4 linked regions of the Arabidopsis thaliana genome follow. The protein of the gene in region 2 interacts with the protein of the main gene of each other region in a pairwise test. Each region holds a gene or a part of one and is shown on either strand. Other genes may lie near its edges. The genes, in order: BPC6, AT5G06770, DCP5 and WRKY6.

Region 1 (5,013 bases), about 15 Mb from region 2:
TATTAGTTATTTTATTTTTCAAAATTAATATATTAAATAAAAACGAAAACAAAAATTATTTGACTCTCAATTATATTATTATAAATTTAAACATCAAAAGTATTTATACTAATAAATACATCATAGCTTTTAATGTTTTTATCATTTTATTTTTTGTTTATACAGTATTTAGATTATTTTAGTGCGACTGATTGGTTTATTTTTAATGAAACATAATGTTTTTTCTTAATAAATAAAATATATAGGTCCCACAAAAAAAGCAGAGAAAACTCTCGAGTCGTATATCACAGTGAAATCTCCCTAGACTAATCATTTGTGATTTCTTTATCAAAAATTCCAAATTGATAGATATGATCAGATCCATTTGTTCACACAGTCCGTAAGTTGTAGGTGAGTGAAATAGCTCACATTCCATCCATGATTCAGTATCAGTTCAAAAGAAAAAGTTGTCTAGTTTTTCTTTGTTGATGTGAACAAAAAATAATAATTCTACGGTTTGTGATGTTACTAAAAATTTTCGAATTATATAATACAACATAACATTGGCTCCACATACAATTCTTTTCCTCTCGAGTTTATTTGAATTTAGTACACATGATTTAAAATCAGATAATGTCGTAAGAACAACTCACACCTAAATGCACATATCATTTAATCGTAATGTAGCGGTTTGTACCGTGCTTTGCCCAATGGTCCTTCAGATCGACCGGGTTTGAAAGATCATGATGCCCTTCTGCAGCAAGCCGGCTTAGAAGCTTGTTGAACGCGCTTCCGCTCATTTTCCGTCCACCAACTCGAGCATGCCTTTTGTTGGGCAGTGCAGGTAAAGGATACATTGATAGTGTAGTTGTGCAACACGATGATTGCCAACCTCCATTTCCCCATTTGTAGCACTGTCTGAGAACTCCTGTACATGAACATACAGGTGGTGGCATCGTTGTCTCGTCGTAAACCACTTGGTTCAGCCCCACCATTTCTTGACTTTTCCAGTCAGATTTTGATCCTATTAAGATATGCTTACTTGAATCTTCGTCTGTGTAGTCATGGGTCGTCTTTACAAACATTATCTTGTTTAAGTCGTCCTCGCTCTCTTTCTTAACCTTCCTCTGATTTTTTGGCCCTCTCTTATTAGCAGCAGTTTGTGTTGTCGCCTTTGGGTTCACTCTTTTACCACGTTTTGGTTTGGCAGATTCCAAGGTGGATCCGGCAGGTGGTGATGTTGGGAGACCATCATTTGGCTCCATCTCTCTGGTTTCATATGCATTTTCAGTCAACTGAGGTATGTGATGTTGTTGATGATGATGATGCATGTGCGGATGGTGCAAGTGTTTTACACCACGTGATATTTGACATCCTGGTGGACATGCTGACATATTGGCAGCAGGAGCAGTAACCATAGAGTTCTCACGGTATTGGAGTGCTGTAAGAGCACTGTCTCTCTCCATTATCGCATTGTTGCGCTCAGCAATGGCGGTGTCCCTCTGAAGAAACGCCATGTCCCTTTCAGCTACTGCTGCTTTTTTCTCTGATATCGCCAGATTTCTCTCCTGAATCGCTGCATCGCGCTCTGCTATTATCGACATCACTTGTTTCATCGACGGCTGATGCTGCATCAACCACTGTTTTACATCATGAACAAATCATACATTCCCATCAAAAACAGTCTCAAATCTGAGGTGTTTAGCCGCAAGCATGATGAACACCCATAAGATGTATATATAGAGCAGAGAAAGGAAAACAACTGATTTAGCTTTGGGATTGTCAAGGTACCTGGCCCTGAACTGCTGCTTTATGCCGACCATTCTCACGATGCCCACCATCATCCATTTGAGATATTAAAAGTCTTGACGGTACAGCTTCTACAATAACTGAACAAGCTAACGGAATATCAAAATAAAAGACTGGTCCATCTTTTAATCCTCCTGCACATAGCCAATCATTAAACAGTGTCAAAAAAGACCATTTCATAAATAAACTACTATGAAGCAAAATAGCCAATCACCAAAGCATTGCTAGTATTAGTGAACATACATAAACGACTATGAAGCAAAAAAAAAATCTATACTTGAGTTCCAGAATATGATTCAGCAGAGACAAAGCAAACAATTGTTTGTCCATCTATGAGTATTTTCTGAAAAACTTTCAACAAAAACACTCAAACTCAGATGACTAAAAATAGCAACATTAATATCGAAATGGTACCATTTTGTTTCAGGATTTGCACATCAATCAATCGATTCTAACCAATACACATAAACTCTGTGAGATATCAAACTCAGCTAAAAGAAACACAGTATCATCGATTATAGTCATAGTGATAATCATCAAAAGCTAATTTGGGAAAACACAAAACACAAAATCGCCTACTCATGATGATCAATAAGAACTCTAAAACCACAAAATCTGGTTCGATACACTATCCAAAAGAAAGAAACAATCCAAAAATTCTCCAACTCTAATGTCGATAGAAACAGGCAAAGCTCATCAAAATTAGGATTTAGCCATTTGGAATCAAATCGAGTAACTTAATTCAGCAATTAGGATTCAGCCAAGCCCTAATTACTTCAAACGAGCTTCGATTAATAGGAAATGAGCTTAGAAGCTTGGTAAGAACTTGGAGAAAAAAGTGAAATGAAAAGGGGCGGCGAAGAGAGAAAGAAGATGGTGGAAGAGTAAGCGAAGTTTACCGGGGGAAGTAGAGAGAGAACCCGCCGGAGAGATACAGAGAGACGACGACGGTGGTGGTGGTGGTGGTGATGACAAGCAGAGCAGAGAGATTGAAACCCTAATTGAACTGCGAGAGAATAAAGAAAAATATCTTTGTGGAAGAAACAGATCGGGGAAGAGGAAGATGGATTTCTTTCTTTCTAACTGTTTTTACGTTTGGTAAAAACAAATTTTTAAACTTTTAACTCTTTTTTCACCCATTTGGTAAGTGTTTTACTGTTGCACTGTTGTTGTTGAAAATTAGGTGACCAATTGGAAAAAAATAAAATAAAAAATGTCTATTAGTATTATTATGTAATTACCAGTTAGATTATTTTTATATAAAATTTAAAGTGTGGCTGGTGTGGTCATTACAGTTTATATATAATTTAACATTTTACGATCAATATTAATATGGCCTTTTTGAAACTTCAGTCTCGGTCGCCAAATATCAATAAAACGTTACCTTTCCTCAGAACAATCGACTCTATAATTAGATAGTAGCACATTTGTTATGAGATTTTATCACAAACAACATTTGATGCCCCAACGTACTTAACTTTGACGCCATGTGAACGTGGATTCCTGCAGCCTAAAACAGAGCACCTACTTGATCTGAATAATAGATTTGTTTTATTAATAGTAGCCTTAAGACATTGATACTTTTTAACTCGACAGAGGATTCTCGTCCCCATGCATTTCTCATTAGGCATGACCCAAGAGTTATTCTCACAACGAGAAAGCTCTCGTGCATTCCAAGTAAACTGAGAAGACGAAAGATGAATGTTATTCCAAACAATTGATATAATATATTTTAAGTTTAATTGAGTAACTAGCACAACTGTACTTCAAAATTATGCAACTACCAAAATTCTTGATCGTTGTTTTATTTTTTGAAAAAAAAAAATTATGCAACTACCAATTTTGTTTTATAACAAAATTCAAGGAGTTTCTAAAATAAGTTATATACTTTTTGCAAGAAAACTAAAGTCTTGTCATTGATCATTGTTTCAAATATCATGTATTGTTTTTAATCTATTTTATGATTTAACTCTAGCCCGTCGCACCTATGCCCTCCTCTTTTGGGACTCAGTGGATGATTAATTCAGTGTACAAAATATAAGATCATTAATTAGAGAACACTGGTATTGAGTTTGGAACCATATGTATATATTAATATATATCTTAGGTACATATATACAGATTGACAATCCTAAATTTAAACATCAATGTCTATGTACATCTTTGATCTTAATTTCAATTATATGCATCTACTATATATCTTTCTTTATATATTTATATGTAGTGTATCACAATGCAGAATCTTGTTTTATTCTTATTTGTTTTGTTTTTCTTTCGTCGTGCATCCTTATATATTTGCCAGTTTATATCATGATTCGTACAAGTGGAAATATCTAGTTGTTTATAAATCGAACCACCTAGTTTACTTCCACGTCAACGGACATGTTGTTGTCACCAATCGAGAAACGACATATTCAAATGTTTTATGAGCCAACAATTGCGTAACGATCATGTTTTGTGTATATATATAAATCACATTTTCACATTTCCATAGCTACAAACAACGAACATGGCTAAACGTTTTCTGCTTCTTCTTCCTCTTTTGTCATCTATTCTTCTTCTTGCCGTGTCCGTCACAGCTTACTCCACAACAACGCCGTATCAAGGCTACAAGCCGGAGAAATTCACCCACCTCCACTTCTACTTCCATGACGTCATCTCCGGTGACAAACCTACCGCCGTCAAAGTTGCCGAAGCCCGCCCAACAACCACCCTCAACGTCAAGTTTGGCGTGATTATGATCGCTGATGATCCGTTGACCGAAGGACCAGACCCGAGCTCAAAGGAAGTGGGAAGAGCTCAGGGGATGTACGCATCAACAGCCATGAAGGACATAGTCTTCACAATGGTCTTTAACTATGTTTTCACGGCAGGAGAGTTTAATGGAAGCACCATCGCGGTGTATGGACGGAATGATATATTTTCGAAGGTGAGAGAGTTGCCGATTATTGGAGGAACTGGTGCTTTCAGGTTTGCTAGAGGCTATGCACTGCCCAAGACTTATAAGATTGTTGGTCTAGATGCCGTGGTCGAGTATAATGTCTTCATTTGGCATTAATCATTTGCATATTGTCTAATGTCTTTCCGAAACAAATTGTTTCACTTTGGTTTTCTTATATTGTTTTTGGTTCTTTTATATATATATATATATATATATATATAACAATTGTTCTGTTTTTGTTGTGGATCGTTTAAAGTTCAAAAGGTGTTGTTTGTCTGAATATT
Region 2 (5,026 bases):
GTTCCGGCTCCAGCCGCTTCTTTCATGGCCGCGTTGTGCTGACGCGTTTCTCTCTTCTGCATCTCAGCTTGATTGATCTTATCTTCTTTAACCTGTGTAGCCATCTGTTTCTGAACAGGGTCTCGTGTCTTCATCTTCTCCGCCTTTTGAAGACAAAACAAACCCAACGTTACACCATTTTTATTATTTTACATCAATAAATTAATAATAACCACAATTCTGTTACCTTTTCCTCCAAGGTAGCTTTGGTTTTGTCCATGCCAGATTTTGCAGAAGCTGCAATATTCGAAGCTGTTTCTTTCATCGACTGCATTTTTACCAAATCTCTCTCTTTTCCTTTAGCGAAATTCAAAGATGTTACAAAGATATCTTCTGATTACTTTTGTTTATTGTTTTGCTCACCGAGCATGTCCCATAGATATAGCCATAGGCCTCGCGTTCGTCACGATAGTTTAATATTTAATTACGTTCTTGACGACACGTCAGTGAGACGTGTCATGAAAGAAGAGGAAGAAGAGGTGGTAGGCTTTGTGTTTCAGTTATTGGTCCTACACGTGTTGGAAAGCCTTTGAGTCGTTGAGAAGATAGATGTTGACGCGTGTTAGGCTTTAGAGTTCGCCTCATGTCGGCGGTTAACCCGGTTTTGTAATCGATAGGTTAAGACAAAACAAGTATATTATTGTGCATGATATCTTAAGAGTTAAGACAAAAATAGTATGTAGCTGTAATATAAGGGTTTTAACATATCAAAGTCTTTTAACTGTGATCGGTAACTTACAGAACTCGTCGAATCTTCAGAGCTCAATACAGAATGGGCTAAAGTTTTCAAAGCGAGTCGCATAAAACAAATTGATAAAACAAAAAGAGAGAGCAAAAAGTCACAATGATAATGGAGCTAACAATGCATAATCTGTTCTCAAGAGTCTAAAGACATAACTAAGCGATTCCTGACCTGCGCAGCTCAGATTCACCATGAGCAAAATGGCATCTATCTCCATATGTACAGTTCCCTTTAGAGTACCTATCACAGATCTTGGTTTTGTAGTTGCTCCCAGGATGTGGTTTCCCTTCAGGACCACCAATCCCTTGAGGTTTCTTCACTGATCCAAGCCTCCCTATAAGCTCTCTCACCATCCCACTCGCTACATTGATCTGTTCAAATGTTCCTTCCAGCTCGATAATCTTCAAGTTTGGGTCTCTTTCATGATCTTTAATCGATAATTTTGCTCCTGTTTCACGGCATATCTGTTTGGAATGGATTCCACCTTTTCCAATGATGGCACCGGCTAAAGAAGCATCTACACTGATCTTGGAAGTAGAAGCACCAAAGATTGAAACAGGGCCTGATCCTGGATCTCCTCTCCCTGAGAATCTGCCGCCGGGACCACCAGATCCTTGCATATTTCTGGAAACTTGAGAAACCGGTGGTCGGAGATTTGTCATCTGCGCTGCAGCATTGTACCCACCGGGCACATAGTGCAAGAAGTGGCAATTGTCACCAAATGGACATCCAGAAGTGCTGCAGTACAAACCATAATGCATCAGCAAATTCATTCGAGAAAGAACAAAACGACACATCTCCAAGCTGTTGCACTATTGCTACCTTCTCGAAAAAGCTATAGCGTTTTAGTACAAAGATAATGAAAGAAATTTATAAAGTAATAAAACAGATTGTAGTCATTATGCATCACCGATGAACAACACGTTGCACAGGAGCCGAAAGACTCATGGATAGTTCAAAGATAATGCAAGAAGAACCTTACTTGAGAACAATGGTTTTATGCTGCATATGCAAAATTACAGTTTCCTTACCATCAAACAGAAGAAGAATAAACAAATTGTTTACAACGACAGCCACAAAAACAAGTTTTGGTTGATTTTGTATATTAGATTCACCAGTAGAGTTCAGTTCCAAAATTATACTCCATATAAGCTTATCATCCATTCTTAGGAGGAATCACAGTTTGTTACATTGACTTTTTAACTCGTTTAAGGATGAACAGTGCTACGTACCTGTATAACAACTATCCACTTCATTAGCACACTTTATACAGTATTACTTCTTAATTTCATGATCCAATCAGGAAAAAAAATAGATTTATAACCTGAAAAATTTAGTGCATGGCTTGGATTTGCTTCCTAAACCAGTTGAAATTGATTCCATCTCTGTTGCAAACATTAAGTGCTTTTACTTGGTTAAACTTTTCTACAATTTTCTCAATACATATCATTTGGACTTGGCACCAGTATACCATTCTGGTTTTGAAAATTTCCAGGGTTATAGAGTTTTGAAATTGAACTCAACAGCTTGAGTTGATACAGATCAATATATCAATCAAGTAAATCCAGTAATGTTGAGTGGTCACAAAGGCTAATGGGAGTTGATTGATGAATCCAATGAATATGAGAAGAAGGGTAAGCCAATAGCACAACACAAAGCAGAACAAGATACAAACTTCTCATATCAATTGTCTCCCAACTCTCAAGTAAGGTAATACCAGACTGAAGCAGAAAAAGGGTTTGCGACTAATCTCTCTAATGAACACAAAAATGAACAAAGGAACAACCTTTACGAGAGACAGAGCACACATTGCAACTAGAAATGAACAAACATAAGTGATACCAAAACATTCTCTCTTGTTGTGAAGATCTCGAATTTCTAAAACCCAATTGGAGACAATAGGAAGGAGAGGAGTGAAAGAACAAACCTTGCTTAGACCTCTTGAATCCGCCATTGGAGTTGTGAGAGGCAGCAGCTTCAGGGCGTCCTCTCTTACGAGCATCCATGTCTCGATAAGATCGATTGAATCGGAGTAGGTAGAATCGAAGAAAGATGAAATGAGATCTCAAAGTTTTGTGATATGAGCTTTGCGATTCTTATCCTTTTAAAATTCTATTGGGTTTATCATCATCATCATCATCTCCACACACACAGCTCAACAATATAAATGGGGGATAGAGGTTTGCTTAATTTGTTAATAATATAAATTAATTCGTGGAACACCAAAAGACCAGGAGACTAATTCCATTATTAATTATATGGATTACTATAAATTTAAAGTATATACATTAACATTAGAATGAATTTATGTTTTGACAATAATAGAGTTTATTTGATGAGACTGGAATCAAACTTGTACTCATGCAAGTAATAAACACCAAAAAAATATTCAACTCTGATTATTTGTACACATATTACTTTATATTTATTGTTAATTCACATCCAGTGGTTTCAAAAATAGAGAATTGTTAAATTTGCGCGTTTTAATTGTTTTATCATAGTCACATTAGTTTTAATATATTCAAAAAATACAGAAAAAATAATTTGGGTAACGAGTCATTTGTAGAAATTTTGGAAAAAAATCGTTAAGTTTGGCGCGTTTTAATTTTTTATCATAATCACAGTAATTTAAACTAAAAAGTAGTATTTTTTTCTGATAACTCTATCAATAACATTCAATCTAAAAAAAATACGGAACATATAATTTGAATAATCGATCGGTTTAAGATTGCCATTAAGATTGAACATATAATTGCCATTAAGAATTAAGATTGTCATTTTAACAAAAGAAAAATTATAAAAAATTTCTAACATCGGGTCGATAAGACGATAACCCTGATACTAATTTATTGTTAACCGTTCTTATAACCATTGAATATATTTTTTTAAAACAATAAAATAAATTGAAGTAAAGTAACCATTGAAATATTTTTAAAATTGAAGGATTCAGTGACAGGTGATTTATGTTGATCTCACTTTCCATCTTATATTCTTGCTAATTGAATCAGATTTTGAATGTTATGCTCAAAGGTCAAAAGCCTCTTCTCAATATTTACATGCTTGGTTCGATTCTTTTTACATTGTTTAGACAGGAATTGGGGATTTGAGCAAGTAAATTATTAACGATCCTGATGGCAAGCCTGATGATGATCACACAAGTTCAGAATTTTTTTTTAAAAATAGTGTTTTTACAAACAAAATTCCTAACGATTATTTTCATACATTCTGAAACCACAAATTAGAAGAATACTACTAATTGTTCATCATATATGAACAAAATCATTTTCTGGGATCCCTTAAAGCAAAACAGAAGAAAAAGAAATATTGCTAGTCATTTTTCCTAGGGGTGATGGTGTCATACATACTCACCCCAGCAGCATTGGAAGCTCATGCGAATACGGTTCTTCTCCATCTGGTTCACCAGCACAAATTATGTTGTTGTTAGTGATCTTAGTGCATGACAAATAGAAATAAACAAAGGCCGCTGTTCACATTTATTACCGCTTTCGTAATCAGAAGCATCCGTAAGCCTTGCAATGGCAGCAATAAGCGCCTGTTCATGTTCCTATATCATCCAATAACAACAACACCAAGTTTCACTTCACTGTTTCTTTCAATCGATATCTCGTCACAAAGTTCTTATCAATTATCATATCGCTCACCTTGAGTAGCTTCTTGGCCTTATCAAGCTCATGTGGATCAGGAAGGTTTGAATCAAAAACTCTCTCGACCTAATGCGAAAGATTTCGACATCAAAAACCCTTTTTGCCTAAAGAGAAACAAAATGCAGAGAGATAGAGATACCTACCTCTTTCACAAGTGAGTCTGTGTTGAACAATTCAATCTCACCGAAAAACTTCCTCCCACCACCGTTTTCCGTTGCTAAATGTTCTCTTCTTGGCTGAGTTCTTGGACCTCTCCCTCTACCACCATGGCTTAAGGTCCTTCGATTCCCACGAGTTGTTCCACCGCCATGTCCTACATTCAAAGTTACCCCATCTTCCTCTCCATCCCATCTTATATCTTTCGTTGGAATCTACAATTATATAACTAACTAACTTCAGATTCTGCTGAAAATGTTTTCATACTAGGTGGATACACTATACAAATGTTTCCCACGTAATCTTACTAATGAAAGCTACCTCCAAAAACAAATGTAACTTTACCCAAAAGACATTCTTGGCAGCATTTTCCACAAAAAACTTAAAAACCTAATAATATCAAAAACTCGTGAAGATTACCTCA
Region 3 (6,056 bases), on a different chromosome or scaffold from region 2:
TATTAGCTCAAAGTAGCAAGTAGATTCCTGCCTTCTACCCAACTAAAGCAACAAATTTTTTGATGAGGCCTCACATCATCTGCTTGGCTATTCTTAACAAACTTTGTGATCGTGATCTACAGATACAACCTTTTGAACCTTGTGGACCACTTCCATAGCAGGGGGCTGTACCGTTCCATCTTTCTGAGGTATAGCATTTTCTCTTTTGGAATCTTGGTATAGCTTACGTTACTCACCTGGCCAGTAGAGCAGCCTGAAATTTTTACAGTTTAACGTGTGACGTTTGATTTTCCTCAGCATCATGGAAGGAGAGGAATCATTAAGGCAGTTCTCTCCTGAATTAGTAGTGCAAAACCCGAATCTCAAACACATCATTGCTCGTCTCCCACCTTTTATTTTATTCCATGGTACTGATGACTACTCCATCCCGTCAGATGCAAGGTATGGTTTAACTTTTGTGTGTATTTGTCTGTCTTATGTATATCAGAAAGTTAAGATGATGATTGAACTTCTATTACACTATCTTTGCAGTAAATCTTTTGCGGAAACCCTCCAGAGGCTTGGGGCCAAAGCAAAAGTGATCCTTTACGAGGGGAAAACACACACGGATTTGTTTCTTCAGGTAAAATGGCCGGTCTTTTTGAGGTATGAATGTCTTGTCGGACAAGAACCTGAATTTTGATCTAGAAACTTGGTTATCTATGTTAGGATCCAATGAGAGGTGGAATAGATGAGATGTTTGAAGATATAGTAACAGTGGTTCTGGGAGACGATCAAGAAGCGATTGGTAAAAGCGTAGATAGAAGGCGTCTTGTACCTGAATTCATGTTGAAGTTGGCTCACTGGGTCAGTCCGTTCTAACTCCTACACTCTTATCTCCCAGAAGATCAAAGGAAGTACATTCCTTCTTCCAGTGATACAGACGGGTCAATGTGCATATTACTTAACAAGGAAAACAGATCCCACTATACTTTGACGATACAGATGATTTTGAACTTTGATGATGATGATATTGTATCCCGGTTTGCAAATACACTGATTATTTCGTCATTGCCTGTTTGTGTTTTTGTAGAACACTGAAAGTGCATTAAAGAAACAAGGCTTCATTGACTTTGTCACCTTAATTAAACTGTCTTTGGTCTTCTTCTTCTCTGATCATTAATCATTGGTTGCACTATTTTCTTGGCATCAGTTGACTTCTCTACCTATATACAAAGTGCCGAACCAGTGTCATTTAACAAGGAAGAAATGTAGGTCTGATTTTTTTTTTAATAATTAAAACTCTCCAAAGGTGTGATTTTCTTGAGAAAAAAAGGTGTGATTTTCTTGACAAAAAAAGGTGTGATTTTCTTAACCCCAATTTTCAACTAAAAATGTAGGTGAAATCACCAAAAATATTTCTCAAAATTCATTTTTTAAAAGGCCTTTTAATTTATGAATAACACTAGATTTGATACTAGGATTAATATGTAAATAATAAGCTCTAACCATCCTACCAAAATAAAATAATAAACTCTAACCAGAGTAAGCAATCAGAACACGAGCCGTGGGATTGGAATGGCTCGAGTAGGCTCGTAGCTACTCGCCTAAACACACCATTGGCGGTGAATTACGAAATAAACCCTTCGCGTGTACACGAGGCATACTTCGGTTAGTGATTAGAGAGAAGTCAATGGAGCCATACTAGGCTATAATGGTCAGATTGATATTATTTTCTGAATTGGGCTTTTATGGGAATGGATAATAAAAAAGAGATGCTCGATCTCCCCAAATTAGAGTAAACCCTAATTGTGTATCTGTAGCTTTCTCTCTCTCTCTCTCTCTCTCTCTCGCGAAGAAGAAGAAGAAGAAGGAGATCAAGGAACTCGAAGTGTGTGTGTGTGTGTTTGCCTTCTCTTGTCTTTTAGTTTTTTCTCTCTTTGGCTGTGATTTCGTCGGCGAAGAGAGACATAGATCGGATATGGCGGCTGATAATACGGGTTCGAAATCGAGCTCCGCTGCGGATTCTTACGTTGGGAGCTTGATTAGTTTGACATCTAAGAGTGAGATCAGATACGAAGGGATCCTTTACAATATTAATACAGATGAATCCAGTATCGGACTTCAAAACGGTACGATCCGTTTCCACTTCCGTTTCGGGATTACCAGATTTGTTAAGTGTTAATTTTGGTGGTGTTTTCTCTCGGATTTGGTAGAAACTAATGGTTTCTTCCGTTAATCGTTAAGAAAGTTTTCTCCAATCTGAACTGTTTAGCTCGATTTGAAAGGAATGTTGTTTTAGTGCTCATGTCTATTACTTGAGTTCTCAAATTGTAATTGATGTCTTGAAACTATTGGTTGAGCATAAAAGATCAGTGTTTAAGTGGTCGATGAGGTAGATTTTGGTTCTGATCCCTGAACTTTTGTTGTGTGTAGTTCGATCATTTGGAACTGAAGGAAGGAAAAAAGATGGTCCACAAGTTCCTCCAAGTGACAAAGTTTACGAGTACATATTGTTCCGTGGAACTGATATCAAGGTATTCAGCAGGATTATGCTAATACTTCTATGTAAGTAGCCTGCCGATTTTGTACTCTGATTGTTCTTGTTGTTGGTAGGATTTGCAAGTCAAAGCTTCTCCACCAGTTCAGCCTCCTGCATCTACTATAAATAATGACCCTGCTATAATTCAGGTGAATGTTAGAAAAGTTGTAAGATTACATTGTCTGGGATTTTGGAGTCAATTGATGTAACCCCATCCTCCACTTGTCTTGGTTTTGCAGTCTCACTACCCTAGCCCGATGCCAACATCTGGTAGCTTGCCTTCTACTGCGAGCGGGTCACTACCTGACATTAGTTCTCATAATGGACAACCTGGACAACATGGAATGGGATTTCAAAACGCAATGCCTTTGTATCAGCCTGGTGGAAATCTTGGTTCATGGGGAGCGTCACCACAACCACCAATGTATTGGCAAGGTTTCTACACCCCACCTCCCAATGGCCTTCCCCAATTGCATCAGCAGTCTCTGATTCGACCCCCTCATGGGCTGCCAATGCCCAACTCTCTTCAGCAACCCCTGCAATATCCTAACTTTAATACCCCTCCTCCACCTACTGGGTCATCATCTTTGCAGGGGTCAAGCTTGCCAGAAGCACCCTCTTCATTGTTTCCTTTTAGTACCAGTTCTCAAATGTTAGCTCCTAGTTCATTGCCTTTCCCTGGTCTACCACCTGTGACGCTCTCGTCTAGCCTGCAGTCTACACTGCAATCAGCACCATCTCCTTCACTAGCTTCAGAGATGGCACCTCCGTTGCTGTCAAACAAAGCTCCTATTACTGCTCCTCCTACCCTACCTCAGGATACTAATTTGCTTTCGTTTTCTCTATCTACTACGAGAGCCACAGAAGCAAGTACTGGCCTTCCACTGTCTAACAAGCCTAGTGTAGTAACTGGTCCAATTTCTCCGCCGCAGACAACACCATTAACATCTGCTCCTGTTGCGGGAGTTTCTAGTTCCATTAGCCAAGATAAGCCAAAACCTTTGTTGGTTACTCCTGGTCAACTGCTGCAGTCTGGATCTTCTGCAGTCTCTTTGTCCCCACCCTCGACAAATGCTGATAAAGATGTTGAGGTGGTTCAAGTATCGTCATCAGCTGGGTTGGAACAATCTGTTCCAGTTACATCCGAAGCCCAACCTCCAATACTGCCATTGCCTTCCTCTGCAAGACCAACTCAGAAGGTTTTTAACTTACATAACATGCCAAATCCTTCAATGTCTCTTATTAATATCATAAAGAACCTTGAATTTGCTGGTGTCTTAGTTAGCTGGAATAAGGTGTAACTGTTATAACTGCACCTGTGGTAATTCCCATTTTAATATTCCATGCTGTGTCTCTTTTGCTTTGTTGAAGATGCATGAAAATCTCTCAGGGTTCTTTGGTGTATAAGATGGTTTCTTTGCATGTCTACTTATAAGTCTTCATGGTGAAATTATTTAAACTCAATTGCTGATTTTTTTTCTCAGCCAAACGGGCATTCTTTCCCAAATCATAATGGTTACAGGGGACGTGGAAGAGGACGAGGAAGAGGAGCAGGGGTACTATTCTTCTCACTCATTTGTAGAATGTGACGGCATTTATTTGTTTTTACCAAGGAAAAGATCTACCAGTTTAAAATAGCTCATGAACTTTAGCCATGTATGCTAATAATTCTTCTTGTTGGCAGAGATCACACCAAGTAATGAAATTCACTGAAGATTTTGATTTCACAGCAATGAACGAAAAGTTCAATAAGGATGAAGTATGGGGTCATCTTGGGAAGAGTACTACCTTAGATGGTGATGAAGATGATGATTCCCCGACTGTAGATGAGGCTGAGCTTCCTAAGATCGAGGCCAAAGTAAGTGAAGTAGACTTATAATCAAGTAAAGCCACCATATTCTCCCTCTCTGGTCTCATCCACATTGTTTATTGATGTAGCCTGTTTACAACAAAGATGACTTTTTCGATAGCCTATCATCAAACACCATTGACCGAGAGTCCCAAAATTCAAGGCCTAGGTTCTCAGAGCAACGGAAACTAGATACTGAGGTACAATCTATATATTTCCACACTCTGAATAGCAAGCAGACTGGACAGAGTTTGTCCCCCCTCGTTGCTGGAGATACTCGAATTCCCAGAATCGTAAGAGAATCCCATTGACTAACAGAACGTATTGCTATGATTTCAGACATTTGGTGAATTCTCGAGATTCCGAGGAGGTCGAGGAGGGCGTGGTGGTTATGGACGAAACAACGGTTACTCACGTGGTGGTTATGGAGGGCGTGGTTATGGCGGTTATGGTGGCCGTGGCGGCGGCGGCGGTGGCTACGGGTATGGTGGACGTGGCCAGGGGAGAGGCGTATCAAATCGTACTACCTAAACTGTTCTGCTAGAAAGGGCTCTAAAGACTCAAAATCCAATGGGAGCTCAGCTCTTGAGTGCTTTTGGTATGTGGCAATAAAACAAAAACCGAGTCCCGTGTAATGTTTTCTGTTATAAAACCCCACTTGTGTGGTTTTGGAGTGTATTAATTTGATTTCTGATCTTTGTTTTTAAGACTTGGTAATAGCGTCGTTCTTCTTATATCCAATGTTATTTTGAACTTTTGTATACTCGACATTTGGTGTGAAATGCATTTTCTATTTACTCTCAATAGCTTGTTGCTGTTTACTGTTGGTAGCTTCTTGTCTAAATTTCAAAAGTCAAACATTTTGACTTTCAATACAGTACCAGCAGCCTTGAATCAAATGGGCCTTATTAAGAGATAGAGAGGTCTTCTTTATACAAGATCCATAAAATGTCCTCTCTATTTCTCAAATTATCATTTTGTCGGCAACTCTAGTGTCTGAGAGACTGTAGTCACTGTACTCTACAGTAGCACTACTTACTCAACTTTTGAAGAGAGAAAACAGAAATGGGAAGTGTAGATCCTTCAAGACTATCATTGGTCTTGTTTGCGAGACTGTCCGGTTTAGTAGTCGCAGTTTCGGTTCTGTACTGGGCTCTCTTCCTGCCTAATCTAGGACTCAGCTACTCTGTAACTATCACACTCCCTTCCTCGTTGATATCAAATTGGATCTCTCTCTCTCTCTCTCTTTCTCTCTCTAATAAAGTTTTTATACCCTTGTAGACTCTTCATCCTCTGCTGATGGTGATTGGCTTCATTCTTGTAAGTGGAGAAGGTAGTGATGATCCCTCCTCATGCCCCTTTTGAAGATTTCCTCTCTCTCTCTCTCTCTCTCTCTCTCTCTCTCTCTCTCTCTCTCTCTCTTTCTTGAATATTTTATCAAGAACTTGGGGTTTTGATCTGCAGCGATTCTGATACACAGATGGTTGCCTGGTTCAAGGAAAACAAAGAAAGCTGTTCATTTATGGCTACAAGGAATGGCATTGGCCTCTGCAGTGTTTGGGATTTGGACAAAGTTCCATTACCAACGTGGAGTTTTCGCCAATTTCTACAGTCTCCATTCTTGGATGGGTTTGCTCTCTGTTTCTCTCTTCGCTGCCCAGGTTCGTCTTTTTCCTCTTTCCACCA
Region 4 (5,797 bases), on a different chromosome or scaffold from region 2:
AGCAGATCAAAACTTGGTTTTTAGTGCAATTTAAAATTAAGCATAATAAAGACTTACCTGTATTAAAAAAATGCATTATTGGCAAATCATGACCCCCACGTCAACTAGAGTTGCACGGAAAGTCAACAACGTACTTTTGCGTATCGCTTCCTTCCAAAGCTTGAGATATTATTCCATCTATTTACAATATTATTACTCCACAGTACACAGATAATTACGTATCGAAATTTTAATAATTTTCTAGAAAATCCTATTTTTACTTCATAAAAATGAAGAAATTGACAAAGCTAAACTTTTCGTTATATTGTTGCCTAAATTTTTGGTCACATATTTCAGTTTATTTATCTTCAAATTTTTCATGCCATTAAACTCGTAGTTTCTAGGAAGTTGTCTCTATTTGTTAGCAAATATTAATGTGTACAGATTTTTAGGTGACTTAATTAGACAGCAATTACGTGTCAAATTGTTATGGTAGCATTTATTGACCGTTGCAATTGTTAAATATATATAAAAAGGTTATTAAAAGTTCAATAATTAAGTGTCATTATGTAGGACACTTATTTGATGATATCTCATTATCTTATTGAAGGTACGGCCAAACTATTAGGTTTGTATCGGCGCTCACATGTGAAGTATTTAATATACCACTCAAAAGAAATATCAAATATTAAAGCTTTAAAGGCAATGCTAATTAAGTTACGTAACTATTTATAGTGTTTACGAATATGAACTTGAGTATAGTTTGCTTTTGTATATTTACTGGGATTTTGGTACGAAACAGAACAAATGTGAATCAATGAAATAAACTCTCTGTTTCCTATAACCCAGTTGGAAAAAAAATGTAGATACCCAAAAAAAAAATGTAATATTTTTCTATTGATTTTTGTTGTTTCCTTCGCCGTCGTGGTGGTTCGTACCATTGATCATAGAAGAAATAACGGCTGCAAGAGCCGCCGTGAAATTCGGGTCAGCTGTGAGTGCCGTTATTGTATCAGCCACCGCGTGTGACTGAGAAAACGCTGCCGTCGAGGGAGAGCCACCAGAGAACTGCAGCCCCGAGAACTTGGATTGGTTATACAATGCCTGGCCTATTACATGAGGTAGCATTCCCGGAGGTAAGTTCGTCATTTGCTGTTGTTGTTGTTGCGGCCGCTGCATCAGTGAGTTGTGGTTGTTGTTGGTAGCCGCGGAAGAGGAAGGATTGGAACCATTAGGAGGCGGAGGTGAGTGGGTGAGGTCTAATGTGACGGTTGGAAACGGCGCGGAGGCTGAGATTGTTGCCATGCTTGTGGAGCAAGGAAGAACAGCCCTAGCTAGTAAATTTGTAGGGTTCATCATCCCGTCGTGACTAGACATTGACCCGGATAGCAACATGTTAGCCGCCGCCGTGGTGGTAGAAGCCATGGCTACCGCGGCTGGCGGCAACGGATGGTTATGGTTTCCCTCGTAGGTTGTAATCAGAATTGATCTGTCTTCCGCGCAACGTTGAACCTATAAATATCATTTCGGACCGAACGTATTAGCCAATCACGCAAACATATATACATTGAAATCTCTAATGTTTTTACAACAAGAATCTTTTAGTCCAATGGTTAAATCTTTTAAATCTTACTTGTTTGCGAACGGGACAGCCCGTGGCCATCGTGCAGCGGTAATATGCCCGCGGACAAGGATTCCCTTTGGCCATCTTCTGGCCATATTTTCTCCATTGACATCCATCGCTTATCTATAGAAACATAAAGTACAAAGATAATTAATCTCTAAAGCACATAGTTTATTTTTTATATAGTCTTATAAGTATTAGTATCTAATAAATCAACTTACCATCGGAGCTTCCGATCGGGCACGAACGGAGACACGGGCTTTCCTCATCGTAGCTTCAGCGGTTTGATCAAATGTCGTCGGGGTAGTAGAATTCACCTTCTGAATTTTGTTGGACTCAGTTTCGGGGCTTTCTTCACGCCCAAGTCTCTTCCCGTTACTACGCCTCTCGGCTGCAGAAGAACCCCCCGAACGAGTTCTATCTTCGGATGAAGAATTTGACACATCCTCGGCCTCACCTACTGCTCTCGTAGGGCCTAAATCAATAAATTGCCTTGGTACTATCGTCTCCTCAGGCTTCTCAGCAGCTTCTATTACCTAATCATATAGGTTCACCAAAATTAATTGCCTATTCATGTAGGGTAAATTCCATTTACTTGTGGTTGATCAATCTAATAATTATTTACCTTATTGTTCTGTTGTTGCTGTTGCTGCATTAGTGAAACAAGATGCATCTGAAGTGAAGTGTAACTGTTGCTAACTTGTGTAAGCAATTCTCTAAGCTTTTGATTATCCATTGTCATTTTCTTCAACTCATCTTGTAATTTCACCAACTGTGATAAACAAAAAAAAATCGAAATATTAATCAAACCGGTTCAAATTATTCATCTATTAAATATTACTAATGTAAAATCAAACTAAACTTACCTCATTTTTCGCACGCTTATCTTCCATTTCGGAAGATTCTCCATCATCGATCATTGACTCATCACTCTTTGTATTACCAGTTGTTCGAAGATTCAAACCGGTCTATAACAAATTAAAATTCAAATTTAGAAATCATTTTGTAAGAAAACAAAATATGATACCTTTATCAAAAAAAAAAAAATGAAACAAAATTTGGTATTTTTATTTGATATTTCAAATGTAAACCAAATTATGACACGTCCACACTAATACAAACCATTAGTAAGAAAATTGTATTTCATATGATTTATCGAAAAGTCGTACTTACATTTACGTCCGTTCGATCATCTTGTTCTTCCTTCTTCACACGAAATCCTTCGTCGTCTTCACGACAAACCCTAGATTTCTTGTCGGAGAAGAAATCCACTTCGCCGGGAACTTCACGGTCATTATCTCCAGCAACGCCAGATGAAAAATCTTCATCTTCACGATCACGAATACCTGAGAGACTCACCGGAAACCTAAATTCACTACCGTTGGTTGATATTCTCGTCTTCTGATCATCTTCTTCGTCAATTCTAGACATCGCCAAAGGATTTGAGAAACGTCGGTGATTCTTATGAGAAATACGATTAGGGTTTAAAAGATCAAGAGAAGATGAATCAAGAGTGAGACCAGACCATCCTCTGTCCATATATAGAAAAAGAAAGAGATCACGAGATTAACGAAGGAGAAAGATTTTTAGAGAGATCAGAAAATGTATTTTTTTTTTGTTTAGGGGTTTGGTTGAAAGAGAGAGAGATTAAGAAAGAGTCTGTGAAGTCTTCTGCCAGAACATAAGACTCTCCTATAAAAAGGGTTTGGGACGTGGACCGATTTTGTTTTTTCTTTTTAAGTTAATGAACTTTGATTTTATTTTCCGGAGACTTTTTAAAAAAATTCTTGGGAGTTTTACGTCAGATCCTGCGTCATTGCCCGGTTACGACCCGACCCATAATACACCGGGATTCTAAGCCCGTTTCATTTTCATGGAAATTCACACACACACACACACATAAAAACTTCATTTGCTATTGGGTAACAGGTTGACGAAAAGGAAAAATGAAACAAAACATTGTACTATTATTAGAAATTTTTAACAAACAATTGGGCAATCCTTTCAAAGCTAATAGAGAGTACACCGTTTGGGATTTATGATTAGTTTTTAGGGTTTATATATAATTTGTTTTTTTTATTACAGTGTATGATTCAGGTTAAGGTGTAGTTTTCATAAATTTTATACGATATATCAGTATGTATTAATTTTAGCATTTAATGTGACTATTATCTTACAAATTTCTTTTAGTTTTACCTCAAAGTCAGTTCTACATTATTCTTTTGGCGACGATAGTTAAAGCCAATCGGATTACTAGTAAACAACTTTTATTTTTTTATAAAAAATTACATATAAACATCCCATTATATAAAAATAATGTTTTTTTATTTACAATGTCTAAAGTTTATTTCAAGAAATTTTTCTTTTTTAAGATTATGAATCAGATTAATATTTTTTGTTATTAACATATACATAATTTTTACACCAATTATTTTGCCAAATAAATAATAAAGTTTTTTATTCCGATGAAAAGGATAAAATTTTATCATGAAACGAGTCAAAACATAATTTTAGATAAAAGAATAGGGTTTTATAAGCTAACTCACTATAAATAGCTTATAAATAGTTTTAACTACAAGTATGTTATAAAACCAAAAATTTGTAAATTGATCGTAAACTATGCCACTGTAAAACGGATTAGCTCATTTGACACTTGTAACATGATGACCAATCAATCAGTTCCTTTTATTAAATTTTGATGTCGAAATCACGAGAAAATGGTTATGTGGCGTAATCGTCTTGAGACTATTAAATTGTGATATGAAGAAAGAGCATTGACTAGTTCTCTTCTGTTTGATCAAACGGACGAAAAGTTTGATCCACCGCTCCGTTTACTGCGGCGCGTTCCACGTGATTATACCTTTTCTCTTTTCTTTTTTTTCAGCTTATTTATTAGTATTAATTTATTTTTAACAAAATACAAAAACAGTTGGAAACAAAAACCGAGTCAACGATTTTGACGGCCCGGCTTCTAATAGTCTTGACTGGTGACCGGTTGCGCTGGTCGTTAGGTCTTACTTCCGTGGCCGGCCGGGCCCCACTCATGTAATAATTTATTTTTTGACCCATTTTTCTTTGATATATTATTAAAGCTAAGCACCTAGTTTCTTGTTTTCTTGAAGTAGACCTTTAGTTCTCTTTCTCTAATGTTAAAAAAGAAAAATAATGAAGACCTTGTTCTCTAAATACAAAGTCGATTTTTATACATATCTTGACAAAGTCGATTATTTATGTTTCGTTGCTTGTCACCGACTTAATTTTTTGTTAAATCATGGTTACCACATGTGATTTGAAAATTTTATGTACTTCGTTACAAAAAGAAATCATGAAGTACAGGAATATTCTTTCTTTTTTTTTTATAATAAATTACAATAACCTAATTATAGTACATGGCTTATGTTTGGGATAACAAATAAAAGAATGGTAATTTTCAGATTTTAAAGTATACATTTTCTTTTGTTGTTATCATATTAGAACTATTGACTTTTCTATTATCTATAATTATATTTTATTAGACTACTACATAATGTAAATGCAATTTTTTTATTTTTTTTGTTAAATTTGTTGAAGGATAACCAAAAAATGGTACTATACAAACCGGATAAAGAAATCGAAACAGGTTCAACAAATTTAGAAAAGTCGAAGAGATTTAGTGTTACTAATCATTGGAATCGCTCATTGGTTGGCTACATGCGGTTATAAGAGCGCATTCTACTGAGATTATTTTCTGAAACAATTAATTTTGAATTGCAATATTACATTGGATAATTTTAGCAGACGAATGTATTTTAATATTTATATTTTTACCTTATAAAATAATAGTTAATGAAAATATAGAAAAAAATAAAAATAAAAAAAAATAAGAAAGAAAAAGAATACAACTAATAACACATATCCAAATAGTCTATATTATATTTATCGTGATAACATGTGTTGCCCATAATAAACCTTATTAGAAAGAAAAAAAAAATTTGGTTGGTGAATTAGTTATGTTGTTCATATAGTAATGTTACAAATTTATAGTATCATAATTATATTTGATATTTGTTTTACTGTTGATTTCCTTTTTATGTTTTCATCGCCAAAGTTTGATGATTAAAACCACCAACGAAAAAAACAAAAAAAAACTGATATGCTATGTCAAATGACTAAAATAACTAGATAGTGAAGAAACGTGTCACCTTATTTGGCATG

What was found.
Region 1: the proteins of AT5G06770 (region 2) and BPC6 interact in a two-hybrid assay, tested with the Arabidopsis thaliana proteins (one large-scale study listed by BioGRID).
Region 3: the proteins of AT5G06770 (region 2) and DCP5 interact in a two-hybrid assay, tested with the Arabidopsis thaliana proteins (one large-scale study listed by BioGRID).
Region 4: the proteins of AT5G06770 (region 2) and WRKY6 interact in a two-hybrid assay, tested with the Arabidopsis thaliana proteins (one large-scale study listed by BioGRID).

What each region holds. Positions count from the first base shown.
Region 1 is NC_003076.8:16,998,101-17,003,113, reverse strand, and holds BPC6 (basic pentacysteine 6), read right to left. Parts: upstream 2,856-5,013; 5' UTR 2,688-2,855; intron 1,923-2,687; 5' UTR 1,828-1,922; coding exon 1,771-1,827; intron 1,620-1,770; coding exon 648-1,619; 3' UTR 507-647; downstream 1-506. Other genes in the region: AT5G42510 (Disease resistance-responsive (dirigent-like protein) family protein), read left to right, coding at 4,298-4,846. UniProt on the Arabidopsis thaliana protein: Transcriptional regulator that specifically binds to GA-rich elements (GAGA-repeats) present in regulatory sequences of genes involved in developmental processes.
Region 2 is NC_003076.8:2,090,001-2,095,026, forward strand, and holds AT5G06770 (KH domain-containing protein / zinc finger (CCCH type) family protein), read right to left. Parts: upstream 3,002-5,026; 5' UTR 2,788-3,001; coding exon 2,709-2,787; exon of another isoform or gene 2,180-2,708; coding exon of another isoform or gene 2,167-2,179; coding exon 2,106-2,166; exon of another isoform or gene 1,579-2,105; coding exon of another isoform or gene 1,520-1,578; coding exon 937-1,519; 3' UTR 703-936; downstream 1-702. Other genes in the region: LEA4-5 (Late Embryogenesis Abundant 4-5), read right to left, coding at 1-143, 227-313; EML2 (Emsy N Terminus (ENT)/ plant Tudor-like domains-containing protein), read right to left, coding at 4,147-4,193, 4,283-4,346, 4,444-4,512, 4,590-4,817, 5,023-5,026.
Region 3 is NC_003070.9:9,023,461-9,029,516, reverse strand, and holds DCP5 (decapping 5), read left to right. Parts: upstream 1-1,561; 5' UTR 1,562-1,960; coding exon 1,961-2,111; intron 2,112-2,415; coding exon 2,416-2,516; intron 2,517-2,595; coding exon 2,596-2,670; intron 2,671-2,760; coding exon 2,761-3,720; intron 3,721-3,892; coding exon of another isoform or gene 3,893-3,912; intron 3,913-4,005; coding exon 4,006-4,077; intron 4,078-4,205; coding exon 4,206-4,379; intron 4,380-4,459; coding exon 4,460-4,570; intron 4,571-4,709; coding exon 4,710-4,901; 3' UTR 4,902-5,176; downstream 5,177-6,056. Other genes in the region: ICME-LIKE1 (alpha/beta-Hydrolases superfamily protein), read left to right, coding at 123-188, 298-441, 532-622, 709-861; AT1G26100 (Cytochrome b561/ferric reductase transmembrane protein family), read left to right, coding at 5,436-5,558, 5,652-5,703, 5,835-6,031. UniProt on the Arabidopsis thaliana protein: As a component of the decapping complex, involved in the degradation of mRNAs. Promotes P-body formation. Translational repressor.
Region 4 is NC_003070.9:23,016,014-23,021,810, forward strand, and holds WRKY6 (WRKY family transcription factor), read right to left. Parts: upstream 3,482-5,797; 5' UTR 3,143-3,481; coding exon 2,777-3,142; intron 2,572-2,776; coding exon 2,470-2,571; intron 2,376-2,469; coding exon 2,229-2,375; intron 2,140-2,228; coding exon 1,825-2,139; intron 1,727-1,824; coding exon 1,613-1,726; intron 1,492-1,612; coding exon 874-1,491; 3' UTR 556-873; downstream 1-555.